4 linked regions of the Macaca fascicularis genome follow. The protein of the gene in region 2 binds, or shares a complex with, the protein of the main gene of each other region. Links are inferred from orthologs where the notes say so. Each region holds a gene or a part of one and is shown on either strand. Other genes may lie near its edges.

What was found. Proteins that work in one complex are often made in the same cells at the same time.
Region 1: PLRG1 (region 2) and BCAS2 share a complex: the UniProt entries of both Homo sapiens proteins name them as parts of the PRP19-CDC5L splicing complex. The link is inferred for Macaca fascicularis from reciprocal best matches to the Homo sapiens genes PLRG1 and BCAS2.
Region 3: PLRG1 (region 2) and CWC27 share a complex: the UniProt entries of both Homo sapiens proteins name them as parts of the minor spliceosome. The link is inferred for Macaca fascicularis from reciprocal best matches to the Homo sapiens genes PLRG1 and CWC27.
Region 4: PLRG1 (region 2) and BUD13 share a complex: the UniProt entries of both Homo sapiens proteins name them as parts of the minor spliceosome. The link is inferred for Macaca fascicularis from reciprocal best matches to the Homo sapiens genes PLRG1 and BUD13.

Annotation. Positions count from the first base shown.
Region 1 is NC_088375.1:119,787,988-119,792,183, forward strand, and holds the start of BCAS2 (pre-mRNA-splicing factor SPF27), read left to right. Parts: upstream 1-1,396; 5' UTR 1,397-1,420; coding exon 1,421-1,513; intron 1,514-1,620; coding exon 1,621-1,713; intron 1,714-4,196. UniProt on the Homo sapiens protein: Required for pre-mRNA splicing as component of the activated spliceosome. Component of the PRP19-CDC5L complex that forms an integral part of the spliceosome and is required for activating pre-mRNA splicing.
Region 2 is NC_088379.1:159,452,126-159,455,338, reverse strand, and holds the end of PLRG1 (pleiotropic regulator 1), read left to right. Parts: intron 1-227; coding exon 228-421; intron 422-969; coding exon 970-1,029; 3' UTR 1,030-2,713; downstream 2,714-3,213. UniProt on the Homo sapiens protein: Involved in pre-mRNA splicing as component of the spliceosome. Component of the PRP19-CDC5L complex that forms an integral part of the spliceosome and is required for activating pre-mRNA splicing.
Region 3 is NC_088380.1:70,438,524-70,442,450, forward strand, and holds the start of CWC27 (spliceosome-associated protein CWC27 homolog), read left to right. Parts: upstream 1-1,127; 5' UTR 1,128-1,342; coding exon 1,343-1,384; intron 1,385-3,927. UniProt on the Homo sapiens protein: As part of the spliceosome, plays a role in pre-mRNA splicing. Probable inactive PPIase with no peptidyl-prolyl cis-trans isomerase activity. As a component of the minor spliceosome, involved in the splicing of U12-type introns in pre-mRNAs.
Region 4 is NC_088388.1:115,624,520-115,628,753, forward strand, and holds the start of BUD13 (BUD13 homolog), read right to left. Parts: upstream 2,801-4,234; 5' UTR 2,775-2,800; coding exon 2,632-2,774; intron 1,889-2,631; exon of another isoform or gene 1,838-1,888; coding exon of another isoform or gene 1,794-1,837; intron 1-1,793. UniProt on the Homo sapiens protein: Involved in pre-mRNA splicing as component of the activated spliceosome. As a component of the minor spliceosome, involved in the splicing of U12-type introns in pre-mRNAs.

The DNA of each region.
Region 1 (4,196 bases), on a different chromosome or scaffold from region 2:
GACAAAGCCTGGGTCTAGACCGCACACTGGGCAGGGTATATAGTCTGACAACTTTATTTGGTCTTTAACTGCTTAATCAAAGGGAGGCTGCTTAGTCCAGGAGCCATGAAGAAGACAAAGTGCATGGGCAGCAGCTTGAATGGTTTGGAGACAGGAGTGCCATTCTATTACCGTTTAAGTCCTAAAGCCAAAATGGCAGGATTTTTAAGGAACTGAGGTTCCTTTTGATACTCAGACCATAAAGCTTCACAATTTTAATTGGAGACTGGCGCCCAATTCTAGAGCCTCTTTAAGAATTGTACTTATCCAATGCAAAGGTTTTCAGGGTGGCGAGGGGGGAGGATAGTCGGGGTACAGCAAGGAAGTAAAAGAGGAACGACCCCGGGTGCAGTGGCTTACGCCTGTATTCCCCACATTTTAGGAGGCCTAGGCGAGAGGATAGCTTGAGGCCAGCCTTGGCAACATAGGAAGGCTCCAACTCTACAAAAAAATTTTAAAATGGCCGGGCGCTGTGGCTCAAGCCTATAATCCCAGCACTTTGGGAGGCCGAGGCGGGCGGATCACGAGGTCAGGAGATCGAGATCATCCTGGCTAACACGGTGAAAATACAAAAAATACAAAAAATTAGCCGGGCATGGAGGCGGACGCCTTGTAGTCCCAGCTACTAGGAGGCTGAGGCAGGAGAATGGCGTGAACGCAGGAGGCGGAGCTTGCAGTGAGCCGAGATCGCGCCACTGCACTCCAGCCTGGGCGACAGAGTGAGACTCCGTCTCGAAAAAAAAAAAAAAAAATTAAAAATTAGCCAGGCGTGGTGGTGTGCACCTCTAGGCCCAGCGGCTCAGGAGGCTGAGGTGGAAGGATCGCTTGGGCCTGGGGGGGTTGAGGCTGCAGTGAACTATGATCGCGCCACTGCACTCCAACCTGGGCAGCAGAACAAGAGCGTGTGTCCATAATAAAAAAGGAAAGAAGTCCGGCACAGAGGAAGAGAAGATTAAGGGGAGACGGTGGCAGTAAGCAGAGGTGGGAAATCAGTTATCTCTCCCCGTCAAATCCTGCAGCCAGTTCCCTCCGAAAGTGTTAAGGGGCTCCCGTTCCAGATATCAATGTTTTGGAGGAAACGAAAAGCCCTAACTTCAAATAGCCACCATTCGCTGGCAAAAAAAATACAGTAAGCAGAAGACAGGAAATTGAGGCCTTCCGCTGACGCAATGAAGCCAAGACTGACGTCACGTCCGCCCAAAACAAAGCAGCCCGGCAATTTCTAGATACCGGGCGGACCCGCCTTCAAAATTAGCAACTGAGCATGCGCGAACGTCAATATGCCGGGAACGTGATTACATCAGTGTCAGGCGCCGGCGTATCTAAATAGAACTCAGTTTACGCAAACGCAGAAAACGCAGGCAAACCTGAGGTCCTCGGAATGGCGGGCACGGGTTTGGTGGCCGGAGAGGTTGTGGTGGATGCGCTGCCGTATTTTGATCAAGGTTATGAAGCCCCTGGTGTGCGGGAAGCGGTGAGTGCGGGGTGTCTTTGTAGCTGACTCACTGTTCGCTGGCTCGGTACCGAAAGAAACATGTTACAATTTGCCGCTTCTACCCTGGCCCCAATTCTCTTTCTAAGGCTGCAGCGCTGGTGGAGGAGGAAACTCGCAGATACCGACCTACTAAGAACTACCTGAGCTACCTAACAGCCCCGGATTATTCTGCCTTTGAAGTAAGTATGTCTTGACCCCGGGTATGAACGAGGATTCCTGTGAACCTTTATTTTGGATTGAGAGCTTCAGCTACGTAAAAGTGATTTTTAAATTCCAGTTTTAACCATTGCCTGCATAGGTACCAGTCTGTTGAAAACAGCTAGATAGATAAGTCTTCTCCGAGGTTCTTATTCTAAGATCCATAGGAAGACTTTCTGGGACTCCACGACTCACTTAATGCAAAAATTTGTGGCCACAATTCTTTGAGATAGGATCCATGCGTAAATTCTCAAAGGGACCCTCTCCTGCCAAGAGTCACTCTACAGCAGGTGATCTAGAATTTTTTAGTATGTATAAGCCTAATTACCTAAGCTCTTTAGAACCACTGGAGAGTGGCGTATTAAAGTCTAGTTATTTACCAAACGTTTGTGGTATGACTGAAGGGACAAACCATATCCAAGTGTATACTACTCTTTTCTCAGCCTTCTCCTTTTTTCTATAATCTGTCCGATGTTTTTATTAACACAGTTCTGATTAATGTAGGCAAGAACTTTCCCTGATACGAATACTTTCCAAGTGCTAGGTGCCATTCTAGATTCTGAAATCATAGAGATAAAAATATCTGGGTTTTAAAAAAATATGTATTTTGCTGTATTTTAATTTTTCTTTTCTTTATTTAAGACAAGCATCGTCTCCAAAAAAAGATAGGGTTTCTGAATACAGAAAAATACAATACAATGAGGAGCTAGATATATAAAACAGAAAGTTTACAATAGTATGTATAAATGTGTAATAATATGTAAAGGACCTGTAGTGGAGGTATATATAAGGACAAGAGAATTAGAGAAAGGAGTGCCCATGCTTGCCTAGGGAGTCAGATGCTGTTCTACTGCACACAGTGAGTATGATACTATTTTAAATGTATAACCTTGAAGTACACCCAAGATTCTAGTTAGGGTCTAATTAGCTAAGTGAAATGTAAGTTATTTCTAAATTATTGGATTCAAGTATTTCAATATGTACAACTTGGAGGTTTTTTTCCCATTATACCTAATCGTTTATTTATGAAAGGATTGTATTATTAAAAGGCAGTATTTAGCTGGGTGTGGTGGCTCACACCTGTAATCCCAGCACTTTAGGAGGCTGAGGTGTGAGGATCACTTGAGACCAGCCTGTGCAGCATAGTGAGACCCTTTCTCTACAAAAGAAAAACTAAAAAATTAGCCAAGCATGATGGCATGCACCTGTAGCCCAAGCCACTCAGGAGGCTGAGGTGGAAGGATCACTTGAGCCTGGAAGTTCAAGGCTGCTACAGTGAGCCATGATAATACCATTGCGCTCCAGCCTGGCGACAGACTGAGATCCTGTCTCAGAGGGAAAAAAAAAAAAAGATATTATTTACATTAAAGTAACGTGAAAAAATAGTTAAGTTTGTTGTTTTTGTTTGAGACGGAGTCTTACTCTGTCACCCAGCCTGGAGTGCAGTGGTGCCATTTCTGCTCACTGCAACCTCCACCTTCCGAGCTCAAGTGATTCTCCTGCCTCAGCCTCGCGAGCAGCTAGGATTACAGGTGCCTGCCACCATGCCTGGCTAATTTTTGTATTTTCAGTAGAGATGGGGTGTCACCACGTTGGCCAGGCTTTTCTTGAACTCCTGGCCTCAAGTGATCCGCCCACCTCATCCTCCCAAAGTGTTGGGATACGGGGTGAACCACCACGCCCTGCCTTGGCTAAGTTTTAAGTAGAAGACATATGTTTCTATGAACGTGTTTTCCTATGCTTTTTCCAAATATTGTTACCTAGGTGTAGATGTTAACCACGTTAAGAACTAAGTACAGTGGCTCACACCTGTAATCCCAGCACCTTGGGAGGCTGAGGCGAGTGGATCACGAGGTCAGGAAATCGAGACCATCCTCTACTAAAAATACAAAAAATTAACTGGGCATGGTGGCGGGTGCCTGTAGTCCCAGCTACTCAGAAGGCTGAGGCAGAAGAATGGCCTGAACCCGGGAGGCGGAGCTTGCAGTGAGCCAAGATGGCGCCACTGCACTCCAGCCTGGGCGACAGAGCGAGACTCCATCTCATTAAAAAAAAAAAAAGAGAATTAAGTACAGTAATGCTTCTTGGACTGATTTCTGACGTTTTCAAATAACTGCATTCAATCACAGACTTCTTATAATACTTTTGCCAGTTTTTTTCCTTCTCTCAAATACCTTTGTAATTAGTTTACTGATTATTTAATTAGCAAACTCCTGGGTTCAAATGATTCTCCTGTAATTAGTTTACTGATTATTTAATCCTTTCTTTTTTTGAGACAGAGTCTTGCTCTGTCGCCTAGGCTGGAGTGCATGCAACTCCTTGGCTCACTGCAACCTCTGCCTCCTGGGTTCAAGCGATTCTCCTCCCCCAGCCTCCCAAGTGGCTGGGATTACAGGCATGCACTACCATGCCCAACTAATTTTTGTATTTTTAGTACAGACAGGGTTTCACCATTGTGGCCAGG
Region 2 (3,213 bases):
ATTCTGGAATTGGATGTTAGATTTTAGGTGCTTTTTAAGATCTATAAATTCTGAACCCAGCACAAATGAAAGTAGAAAAGCCAATATTAGGAGAAGATTGAGTGCCTGTGTCTTATGTATTTTTATAACCGAAGTATTGCCATGCTTGGGCTAATGATGCTTAATAAATGTTTGTCAAGCTGTACTGCTGAAGGGATACCAGGTGTAACTAGATTTTTCCCTTTAAGCTGACAATGGCACCATGCATCTTTGGGACTGGAGAACTGGCTACAATTTTCAGAGAGTTCATGCAGCTGTGCAACCTGGCTCTTTGGACAGTGAATCAGGAATATTTGCTTGTGCTTTTGATCAGTCTGAAAGTCGATTACTAACAGCTGAAGCTGATAAAACCATTAAAGTATACAGAGAGGATGACACAGCCGTAAGTTCTCTGTTTCACATTTGTTAAGTAAAGCAGCTATACCAATTGGGCACTGTGTTCTCATTTAATTTTATCAGAAGGAAAAATAATCTTTATAGTATTTAAGATATTTGTTTTCTTGAATAGTGTCTATTTATAGATTTCTATATTATTTCACTGATGCCAGTGAATTCATGGATGGTTTTAATTTTATCCCAGCTTTCTTTGTTATAGTTGCTGGGAAATGTTGCACCAAGAATAACAGCAAATAAATAGATTGCTATGCAAATTAATTTGAGAATCATAAGCTTTGGTATTAGTAGATCCAAATAGAAATGTTATTTTAGATTAAAAACTGCAAACTAAACATAATGAATCCATCCATCTGTTATTAGACTTAGATAATGCCAGAAGTTTATCAACTCTTCCTAAAATTGTCAAAGAACTACTAAGTATATAATGCCAATGAATAATGTTAGAGGAGATACCTTATTTCTGTTAGAAAGGAAGCCTGTTAGACATGAAGCAAACTAATAATACTTTATTTTAACTTGCTTTTCTACTTTTAGACAGAAGAAACTCATCCAGTCAGCTGGAAACCAGAAATTATCAAGAGAAAGAGATTTTAATGAATGTGGAATTTTCTTTTTTTTTTTTTTTAAAAAAAAAAAAAAAAGCTTGGCGTTGATGAGGATACCCAGTCATTTTGTGCTCTGGCTGGGAATATAAAGGAGAAATTCACTTGCTTCAATCATTGCTGCTTCATATTTTACAATAAACTGTCCCCTGTCCCCTACCCTTGTGTTTTTATTTCTAAAACAATTTGTGATACTAGGAAGATGCAGATATCAAGTAAATGCAGGTTTATTGACTGTAACTATTCTAGATGTAATATTTTGACAGTCTTATTAGAACAACCCCCTTTTTAAAAAAAATGTATGAAACCGATTATTATAATAGGACATTTGAGGGAGCAGTAGGTTTTTTTTTTTAATCCTTTAAAAATTAATATCTGTGACTAATAATTTGAGATTAAAAGATTTAAAGTCTTAACTTATATATGTTTATTCCAAAAACGGTTTTTGAGTGTATGTTCTACAAAGTTCTGCACTAGATACCGTTCAGGAAATAGACAAGTAAGATGTGTCTATCCTCTAAGACTTCCAGTTTGGTAGCTTAGTATAGAAATTCTGTAATGGAGGTGCAGGTGAAATGCTGGGGGAACAGAAGTGGGGATGAGATCATTTATTTTTCTCAGGAAGGATTGTGGAAGACTTCATAGAGTAAGTGGCATTGGAGATGACTTTGAGGTGAAGGAGGACAAAGAAGGAAAAGAGATAAGGCATGAAGCGATGAAACCAGGCAGAAGAAAGTGTGCAGTGTGTCCTGGGACAAAGAATTTTCTGCTACTGTTGAATAATGGAGAGTAAAGCTGGCTTGTTGTGAGGAAAGCTCATATAAATTTGGATTTTATTCCACAACTAGTAAGATACCAATACTGCCATTGAAACTTGGGGAAAATAACTGGAGATACCAGTGCAGCTGTTTAAAACTGTAGCAAGGGCTGCAATCTTGTAGAGATTTTAAAGAGAAGTTTTAAAGTTTCTAATGCCTCTTTTTGATAAATACAAGTTTTATAAATCTTGCCCTGGGATCCTGATTCCCCTTTAGTCAAGAAGATTTGTCAGACTTCACCTTCTATAATGAGAAAACACAGTTATAAGAACAGTCAGTTTTTATAATTTTCCAAATTAAAAAATTGCACTATGATTTTGAATAAGCATTTCCAATTATATTACCCATCTTGCATGCTATAGGTGGGAGTATAATTGGCACAACCTTTAGGAATGTAGTTTTCTGGGGTTTATTGAAACTGTTTGAACCTTTTGGCCTACTAAGTTCATTTCTAGGGAACTGCCTAATGGGAATAATCTGACAAGTGTACACAAGCAAATTCATTGCACCTTTGTTCTTTAATACTTAAAACTCAAATGTCCTGTCAATAAGGGATGGTTTAATAGATGGTTCCTTTATGCAATTTGTTTCTAAGTATTCATTAAGTGAGTGAGGAATGTCTGGATTATTAGGGCAAAATTTCCAAACTTTACTCTTAGTTAAAAAAAGTTGTGCAAGCATTTTTTGTGAACAACTTAATGCTCCAAAATATAACACCACATTACTAACAGTGGCTTTGTTAGGAAGCAGAATTATGGAAGAACTTTCACGACTGGCTTTACATATTTCTATGTTTTAATTTTCTATAAGCATGTATTTCATAAACTTAAATAAAGAAAAAAGAACGCTGCACTTGCATTCCTGAGAGATTCTGATATGCCTTCTAACAACAAAAATCAGAGGTAGATGCTGTTAAAGGCCAAGAAGAAATGACTAGTACAAGGAGATGAGAAAGCCCCTACCAATCTTTTTAGCAGAGCTTCAACTATTGTGTTCAAGTTAGGTACACATATCAAATTCTGAAAAGCATTTAAAAAAATCTGTTTCCCTGCTCCATGCTGGCCTATATTACAGTGTTTCTTGAAACTTCTGTTGCATTAAGTTCATCTACCATAATGTGTTCATGGACCCTATGAAAGGTGCAGAATTTCATGCATGTGCCCTTTTACTTACCTGACAGACCCACCACCAGGGTTAAGCCCAAATCTCTTCCACTGCCCATTGCATATAGCTTAAGTGTAGTCAAGCTATAAAGTGTTACCAAAGAAAGGCAGCTCCAGAGACCGGACTCATTCTTGGTCTGTAACCACATATCTCAAGGGAGCCATCAACAATGACCAAATACACATCTCCATAGT
Region 3 (3,927 bases), on a different chromosome or scaffold from region 2:
TGTTCTGCAGTGGCAAAGCCAGTTTGAGGAGACGCTCTCAGCTACTAGAACTTCCAAGTAAGCTGGTAGTTGAGGAGAGAAAATCTTTTAAGTAATTATTCTGCAGAGTTCACCGTTTTTAGGTCAGTAACTTCTGGACACAGAATTTGAGAGTTAGAATAAATCTTATATATAATTCAACAAAGCTCCTTCTTTTTATAAGGAAACTGAGGCCCAGAAGCACAAAACGACCACTCTATGGCCACGGAGCAGCTACATACAACAGGAAGAGCTAGGAGTAGAACCCGGACACCCGGTGGGTCCTAGCGACTTCTAGGACAGACGACGCCTCTGGTTACCTGGGTCGGCCAAGTGTTCCCACTTCAAATTTTAGTTTTAAGCCATACCACAGTTAAGGTAGTTTTTCTTGGCTGCTCGCCCCCTTAGGCCCACAGTTACAGTCTCCCCCTCCTCCCTCCCTTCCACAATACACTTTCCCTGTAATCCCATGCAGCTGGGGCTTGGCTCCTGGGGGAAGACAGTTACTTTCTTTCCTTCAGAGTGTATCTTTGGAGTGTAAACTTTTTCATGTAAACAAAACAAACCTGTGAATTTTAAGGCCTCCGCCTAAGTCCCCATAGGCACTGATCCCCACACCCCGCACCCTACCCTACCCTCCCTTGTGCTCCCTTCGGATCTCGGACGCAGAGGCCCTGTAATTGCTCCTTACCTGGGACTGCCATGACGATGGTAAGGGGTCACTTGAGCCTCCGGCTTTCGAAGTGGCGCTTGCTTCCCGCCAGCTGCGAGAACAAGGCACAGCCAAAGCGCCGTTTTCCTTCCCCCAGCGCAGCAGCACCTTCGCTACGGTGAGGAAGGCCCTTTACGTTTCTAGCGGCAGCAGAACCAGTAGACGCGGATGCAGTTTCCGGACGAGTCATAGTGCAGAAGACACATGGTCCGAACCATTACTGATAGTTTTTTTTGGGGGGGGTCAGTTTGATCTGCACACGCGAGTAGTGTAAACACAGCCAAGACTTATGAAGTGTCCCTTCTAATATTGTAATACAAATTACATTAAGCTATAATAACTTTACAGACTTCTCTCGTTCCCTGGAGTACACTGGAATAACCCTTCTCAGGGTTAGCGGTGCTCGGGTCCGGTAACAACATGGCGGCGTCCGTGAGGGGCTCCTTTAGGCAAGGGTAGTGTTTGGTGTCCCCGTCTTGCGTGATATTGACAAACTGAAGTTTTCCTGCACCACTCGACTTAAGAAAGAGTGTACTCCTAGGCGGACAGCTTTAGTGACCGGCCGTCCGCTCTAATCCCTCATAAGGAGCAGAGTCCTTTGTACTGACCAGGATGAGCAACATCTACATCCAGGAGCCTCCCACGAATGGGAAGGTGAGAGCCTCATCTAGGGAACTTGGGGTCCTGGGATCTCCAAAGTGAGATTTCCCAAATTTGGGGTGGGGGACGGGTTTCGGGATCTCGGGGTAGGAAGAGACCACGATAAGTGTTGTCTTTATTCCTGCATGTGGACAATGTTGCGTCGAAACACTGAAGTTTATACTTTTCAGGACGTACTTGAAAAAGTCAGGTGGAGATTTCTCTACCTACCAGCATTCCGGTCCTGTTTTCTGCTTTAAGCCAGCTCATGCAACCGATTTCTAGAGTCTTAGGTTTTTAAACGTACATTTCTGAGTTTGATATATTCTTTGCTTAACTTTGAGGTCATTCATTCTGCATTTCTTCTGCAATCATTAATTGAACGCCTGCTAGGCACTGGGCACTGTACTAGGCGCCGGAGATACAAAGATGGATGGGTAAGGTAGTTGTTTTCCCGGAAGAGCTTATAGTTTAGTTTGTGAGACAGGTAAACAAAAGCCTGTATGTCTGATAAGCGTGCTTGTGGAGAAGAGACCAGGTTGCTATGGCGGTACTGAGTAGTGAACAACTGGGAAAGTTAGGAAAAACCTCATGGAAAAGGTATCTTTTGAGCTGATTTTAAAACCTGAGATGACTGTCAGTCAGAGAAAGTGGGAAATGGGGACTGTTACCACATTAGAGTGGGGAAAGGTTTCTCTAATTGATTTGATGGCTAATGTATGCCAATTCCCATCCAAGGTGTTTGTGTTGAAGAGTCCGTTGTGGAATAACTGTCACCTGAATTCTTAAATTGAGACCTAGCCTATCTCATATGAAATTTGATGAATCAGCATATTGGAGAAAATGAGATTTAAAGTATATAGTTGAATTAAGATAAGCTAAATTTACACAACATACCATCCTGTTCGTTACATGATTACATCATAAATAATTTATGCAGTCTTTTATTCATTGACATTTGATAATATAATGAGAGCAATTTAAAAGCAAAACCAAAAATGCTGTAATTCCCAGCAAAAATTTAATGGGTATTTTGGGCAGCTCAATTCTTTCAATTCTTTGAACTTCTCCTGGGCATTGTAGGTTACTGGGTCCATCCCACCCCTCACCTATCTTATTTAATATCAATGTGAAAACCCAAAATACCTACCTCCTCCTATTTCCAAATGTTTCTTGAGGGCAGTATCACCCCCAGTTAATAAATACTGGTAGAGATTGAATAGATTTACCATACTGCCAGACAGGGCGTTCACACTTGCTGTTCCTCTGTTTAATCAAGTGTTGACCTTAGCAAAGAGTCCTTTCTTACCTACTTTCTATGAAATAGCAAACTTCAATCATGCCTTGCATCCCAGCATTCTCTGGCCCCCTTAACTTTTTTAGTTTTTTTCCATGGTATTTATTAATTATTTGGTATTACTGTATCCTTCCTCCTACCTTCCCCCTATAGAATGCAAGGAACATCAGGGCAGAGACAAGCATCTAGAACAGTACTTGATACATGATAGAAGGAGTTCAGTTATGTATTGAATAAACGAATGGATGGATGAATTAATACTATATTTTTCTTAGTTTTTTGAGGAATATTAAGCATCAGTGAGTTTGAGGTTACACTGCTGCTGGTCAAGGACAGACTTAATTGCTTTGTTGTAAAGGAAGATTTGACATGGTCACATAGATGAAAAGCTTTAACAAGGATATATTCCTGAATAGATTATTCATTCAACAAATAATGATTGAGCAAATCAATTGCCAGGCTCTATGCTAGGTTTTAGGGATACAACGGAAACAAAAAAAACCACATTGTCTGAGTTATCATGAGTTAATTGAGTGAAGTATACATTGACTGAATAATCATGCAAATAAATGTTTAACTACAAAATGTGATAAATACTGTCTTCTGAACAGAAATGGGCTGAATGATAACACAAGGGCCCAAGTTTTCATCCAAAAACAACTTGGGACTTTTTCCACCATAAGGCTCATCAAAGATATTAAAGCTTCTAAGTTCTGTAAGGTTGAGAGTGTGGACAAAAATTTGGTGTGTAAAGAATTTGAAGCAAATGTAATAAGTCTGTTCAATGAATGTTTATTGCCTTTACTATCTAATGGTACATTAGGTACTGAAAGGGTACAGAGACATTCAGAGTAAATGGGACAAAATTCCTCCCTTCAAAGTGCTTAGTATCAGCTTGGGAAGTAATTGATAATGATACCAGTGCTTGGTCCCTGGTTGTCCATAAATGTTCTGTGTTTTGCTGTAACCCTAGCCCCTGAAGATGAGGCAAAGAAATATAGTACTTGATAGAAATTTTTTAAGCATAAGAGGTAATTCCCTGAAGATGAAATTTCCACATATTATGATCACTTATTCTAAATTGTGTCTGGCATCTTCACTTAGCATAATGTTGCTTTCAAATGATAGGGGTCTGTCTTATTGTTGTACACACTTAGTTTTTAAATGTATTGAAAATCAAAATGGCTTTATAAGTATATTTGCATATATATTTATAAGAAACATGATATTATCAAAGTATTAATTGGGAATTTTAAGAGAA
Region 4 (4,234 bases), on a different chromosome or scaffold from region 2:
TGAGACAGGGTCTCACACTGTTGCCCAGGCTGGAGTGCAGGGGCACCATCATGGCTCCCTGCAGCTTTGACTTCCTGGGGTTAAGTTATTCTCTCCACTCAGTCTCCCAAGTAGCTGAGACTACAGGCATGTGCCACTGTGCCTGACTTTTTTTTTTTTTAATTTTTTGTAGAAACAGGGTTTAACCATGTTGCCCAGACTGGTCCCAAACTCCTATATGCAAGCAATCCACCCGCCTTGGCCTCCCAAAGTGCTAGGAAACTCTTCCTCATTCCAGGAAACTCTTCCTCATTTTTCAGGTCCTAACACAAATTTAACTTCCTTTGGCAAACTTTTTTTTTTTTTTTTTTTGAGACGGAGTCTTGCTCTGTCGCCCAGGTTGGAGTGCAGTGGCACAATCTCAGCTCACTGCAAGCTCCGCCTCCCGGGATCGTGCCATTCTCCTGCCTCAGCCTCCCGAGTAGCTGGGACTACAGGCGCCTGCCACTATGCCCGGCTAATTTTTTGTATTTTTTTAGTACAGATGGGGTTTCACTGTGTTAGCCAGGATGGTCTTGATCTCCTGACCTCATGATCCGCCCGCCTCGGCCTCCCAAAGTGCTGGGATTACAGGCGAGAGCCATCGCACCCAGTCTGGCAAACTTTTCTTGACTGCTTCCCGGATTCCCCCACTATCTCACACTCACTCAAGACCACGGACCCGGCCGGGCCCAGTGGCTCACGCCTGTAATCCCAACACTTGGAGGCTGAGGCAGGTGGATCATGAGGTCAGGAGATCGAGACCAACCTGGCTAACATGGTGAAACCCTGTCTCTACTAAAAATACAAAAAATTAGCCAGGTGTGGTGGCGGGTGCCTGTAGTCCCAGCTACTTGGGAGGCTGAGGCAGGAGAATGGCGTGAACCCTGTAGTTGGAGCTTGCAGTGAGCTGAGATCATGCCACTGCACTCCAGCCTGGGGGACAGAGTGAGACTCTGTCTCAAAAAAAAAAAAAAAAAAAAAAGACTAAGAACTCTTGTTAAAAACTCTTGGAATACTTTCATTGCATTTATCATAAAGAAAATACACCAATTAGTTGTGTAATTAGTTGCTTAAAGCCTGTATTCCCACTAAACTATAAGCTCCACAAGAACAGGGACTATGTTTCTTTTTGTTCACAGAGGCATCCTCAGTAACTGGAATACAGTGTATTCAATAAATGCTTGTTACATGGATAAACTATAGTTGAGCCCCAATAATAACCATGACTGCCATGATGTGAAGTTATTCAAAAAGCCAGGGTCACTTAATGCAATCCCTCTAATCACAACCACCACTTCATAAAAGCATTATTATTCAGTATTATTCCCATTTTAAAGATAAGGAAACTGCAGTTCAGTGAGATGAAACACTTTGCCCAAGGGTACACAGCCTATAAAGTGGCACAGCTAGGATTCGAACTCTGACCAGTGCTGCTCCAACACTCAAGCTACTTTCATCACATGGCACTGCCTCCAAAGGATCCACACAAGTCAGCGAAGCAGAAAGACGAGGACAATAATAAGGCAAGCACCAAACCAGAAAACAACATGGACTAGTTCTTTAGAACAATGTGACTTCACTGGGTATCTTAGTGCCTTAGGGTTACTGTAACAAAGTACCACAAAATTGCGTGGCATAAAACAACAGAAACTCTCACAGTTCTGGAAGCTAGCAATCTGAAATCCAGGTGTCTGCAAGGCCATCCTCCCTGCAAAGTCGGTAGGGAAGGATCTTTCCTTGCCTCTCCCAGCTTCTGGTAGCCCCAGGCATACCTTGGCTTTTGGCAACATAAATCCAATCCAATCTCAGCCTTCATCTAGACATGGTCGTTTTTCCTTTGTTGCTGTGTCTGTATCCATACTTCCCTCTTTTTAAAAGGAAAACAGTCATTTTGTATTTGGCACCCACCTTAATCAAGTATGACTTCATCTTAACTGATTACATCTCCAAAGACCCTATTTCTAAATGTCACATTCTGTGGTTCTGGGTGGAAAACGATTTGGTAGGGCCCACTATATTGGGCCACAAAGTTTTCCCATTTGAAAATAATACCCAGTTCATGGTACTGTTGTAAGGCTTAAACAAACTTATGTTTAAATTTCTTATAATGTTGCCTGGCAAGAAAAGTATAATTATGTAAATGTTAACTTCTCTTGTTAGTAGGACTATTACTAAGAGTAACAGGAGGTGATCCAAGGTCTCTGATTCAGAACCAAGTCCTTGGGATTTGGGAATCCCCACAGGCAGGTACCGGGCCCTAAAGATTCAAGCACAGAGGCTTTGAATCCGCTCCATTATTCTCGGGGCGCAATATTCATTCTCCATGGGAGAGGACGGAAGTCTACCAAGGCGGGAAAAGAGTAATCAAAGTTACAGCCCGGCTCTAACGCACTGACGCTACTGCTCAGAGGCTCGAGGTGTAAGCGGGGCGGCAGAGGCAATGCGGGGCCTCAAGCGATGTGAGTGGGGCCCTGGGCATGAGCAGGGGTCGGCGGAGAAGCCGGGAGACCCGCCAAGAGGGAAGGAGTCGCCAGGCGACCGAGGGCGGAGTTGGGAAGGGTGAGGGGTGGCGAGTCGTTGCAGGCCCCGCCCCGGCCGGTACCAACTCACCCCTTGCCGCCGGCCCCGCCAGGCTTCGGCCGCTTTTTGCGACGCTTGCGACCGGACTCAGACCCCCGGTCGACGCCGGCATCTGCCCCGGACAAGTAACGCTTCAGATACTCGGCCTTGGAAAGCGGCGGAGCTGCCGCCATGGCAGCGGCGAGGGCAGAGACGGGTCGGCGCTGGGGACAAAATTCCTCAACGCGTAACGGACGCCAGCCACCCGAGGGGGCGGGGCCAGGGCCGGAAGTGGCGGAGAGTGCTGAGAACTGCGCGGCTGGCAGGTGCCCTCGCGGGGGATGCGCTCACCTTCGGGGCGCTCCACAGCCCTGGGACGACGCCACCAGGTTTCTTCTCTTCATCCACCCACCCACCCATCCATCCAACCGCAGCAAGCGCTGTTCTGTGAGGCCACAACCTGACCCAAAAGACCCCGCCCCCAGAGGTTACCTAAACTGCAGAGCACGGGCAAGAAAGTGGAGGGCCACAGGCTGCAGCGTAGCCGAGTTTGTTTTTTGTTTTTTGTTTTTTTTTTGAGACGGAGTCTCGCTCTGCCGCCCAGGCTGAAGTGCAGTGGCCGGATCTCAGCTCACTGCAAGCTCCGCCTCCCGGGTTCTCGCCACTCTCCTGCCTCAGCCTCCCGAGTAGCTGGGACTACAGGCGCTGGTTCCATAGCTGGCTAGCTGTACTACCTCGGGCAAGTTATCACAAAGCGGGGAGAATCCCGGCACCTAACTCGGAATGGTCACAGGCTGAGATAACACTACTGTGTGAAGTGCGCAGAGCAGTGTTGGGCATATGGTGGGCATATGGTCATCGGAACTATGTTCGTTATTTTTATAAGTATCTTCAAGTGGGGAGAATCTGCTCCACTAGGCTTCCAGGTACCTACCGTCTGAGAAGGGAAGCCAGGAAGTGCAAACCAACATAATTACTATGAAAAACGTAGTTTCTAAGACCTGTATAACTCTTCTGGTGTTATATTACAAGTAGCTCGCAGTTATCTTTTGAAGGAAACTAACATCTTGACAATGAAAAGGACCTGGATCTATTTTTAGCATAGCAAAAGAGAGAAACCAGAGAGAATGAATTCTAATACTCAAGTTTTGGGGGGGAAGAAAAGACTTTATTCTTGGCAGGGGTTTTAGAGCTTTACCTGAATTATCTCATTTAACCCTCACAATTCTCAAATCGTTTCAATATCACATTTTACAGATAAGAACTGAAGCTTGGCAAGATTTAAGAAGTTGCTCAACTTCACATAGCCAGAACATGACTCTTGGGAGTAGAGGCTAGCAAAGTGGGGTGCAAGAGGTCATCCAAATTTCTTGAAATATCTTTTTACCTTATCATATGTTAGATTGTCACTTTTTTATCGTTTTCTTCCCAGCTTTATTAAGGTTATTTGACAAAAATTATATATATTCAAGGTGTACAATGTGATGATTGGATATAATTATACATTGTGTAATGATTACCAAAATCAAATTAATTAAAACATCCTTCACTAGACTTATTTATGTACTAGTTTGGTGGGGGGCACTTAAATTTGTCTTAGCAAGCTTCAAGTAAACAATACAGAATTATTAGCTATAGTCAGTATGTTGTACAT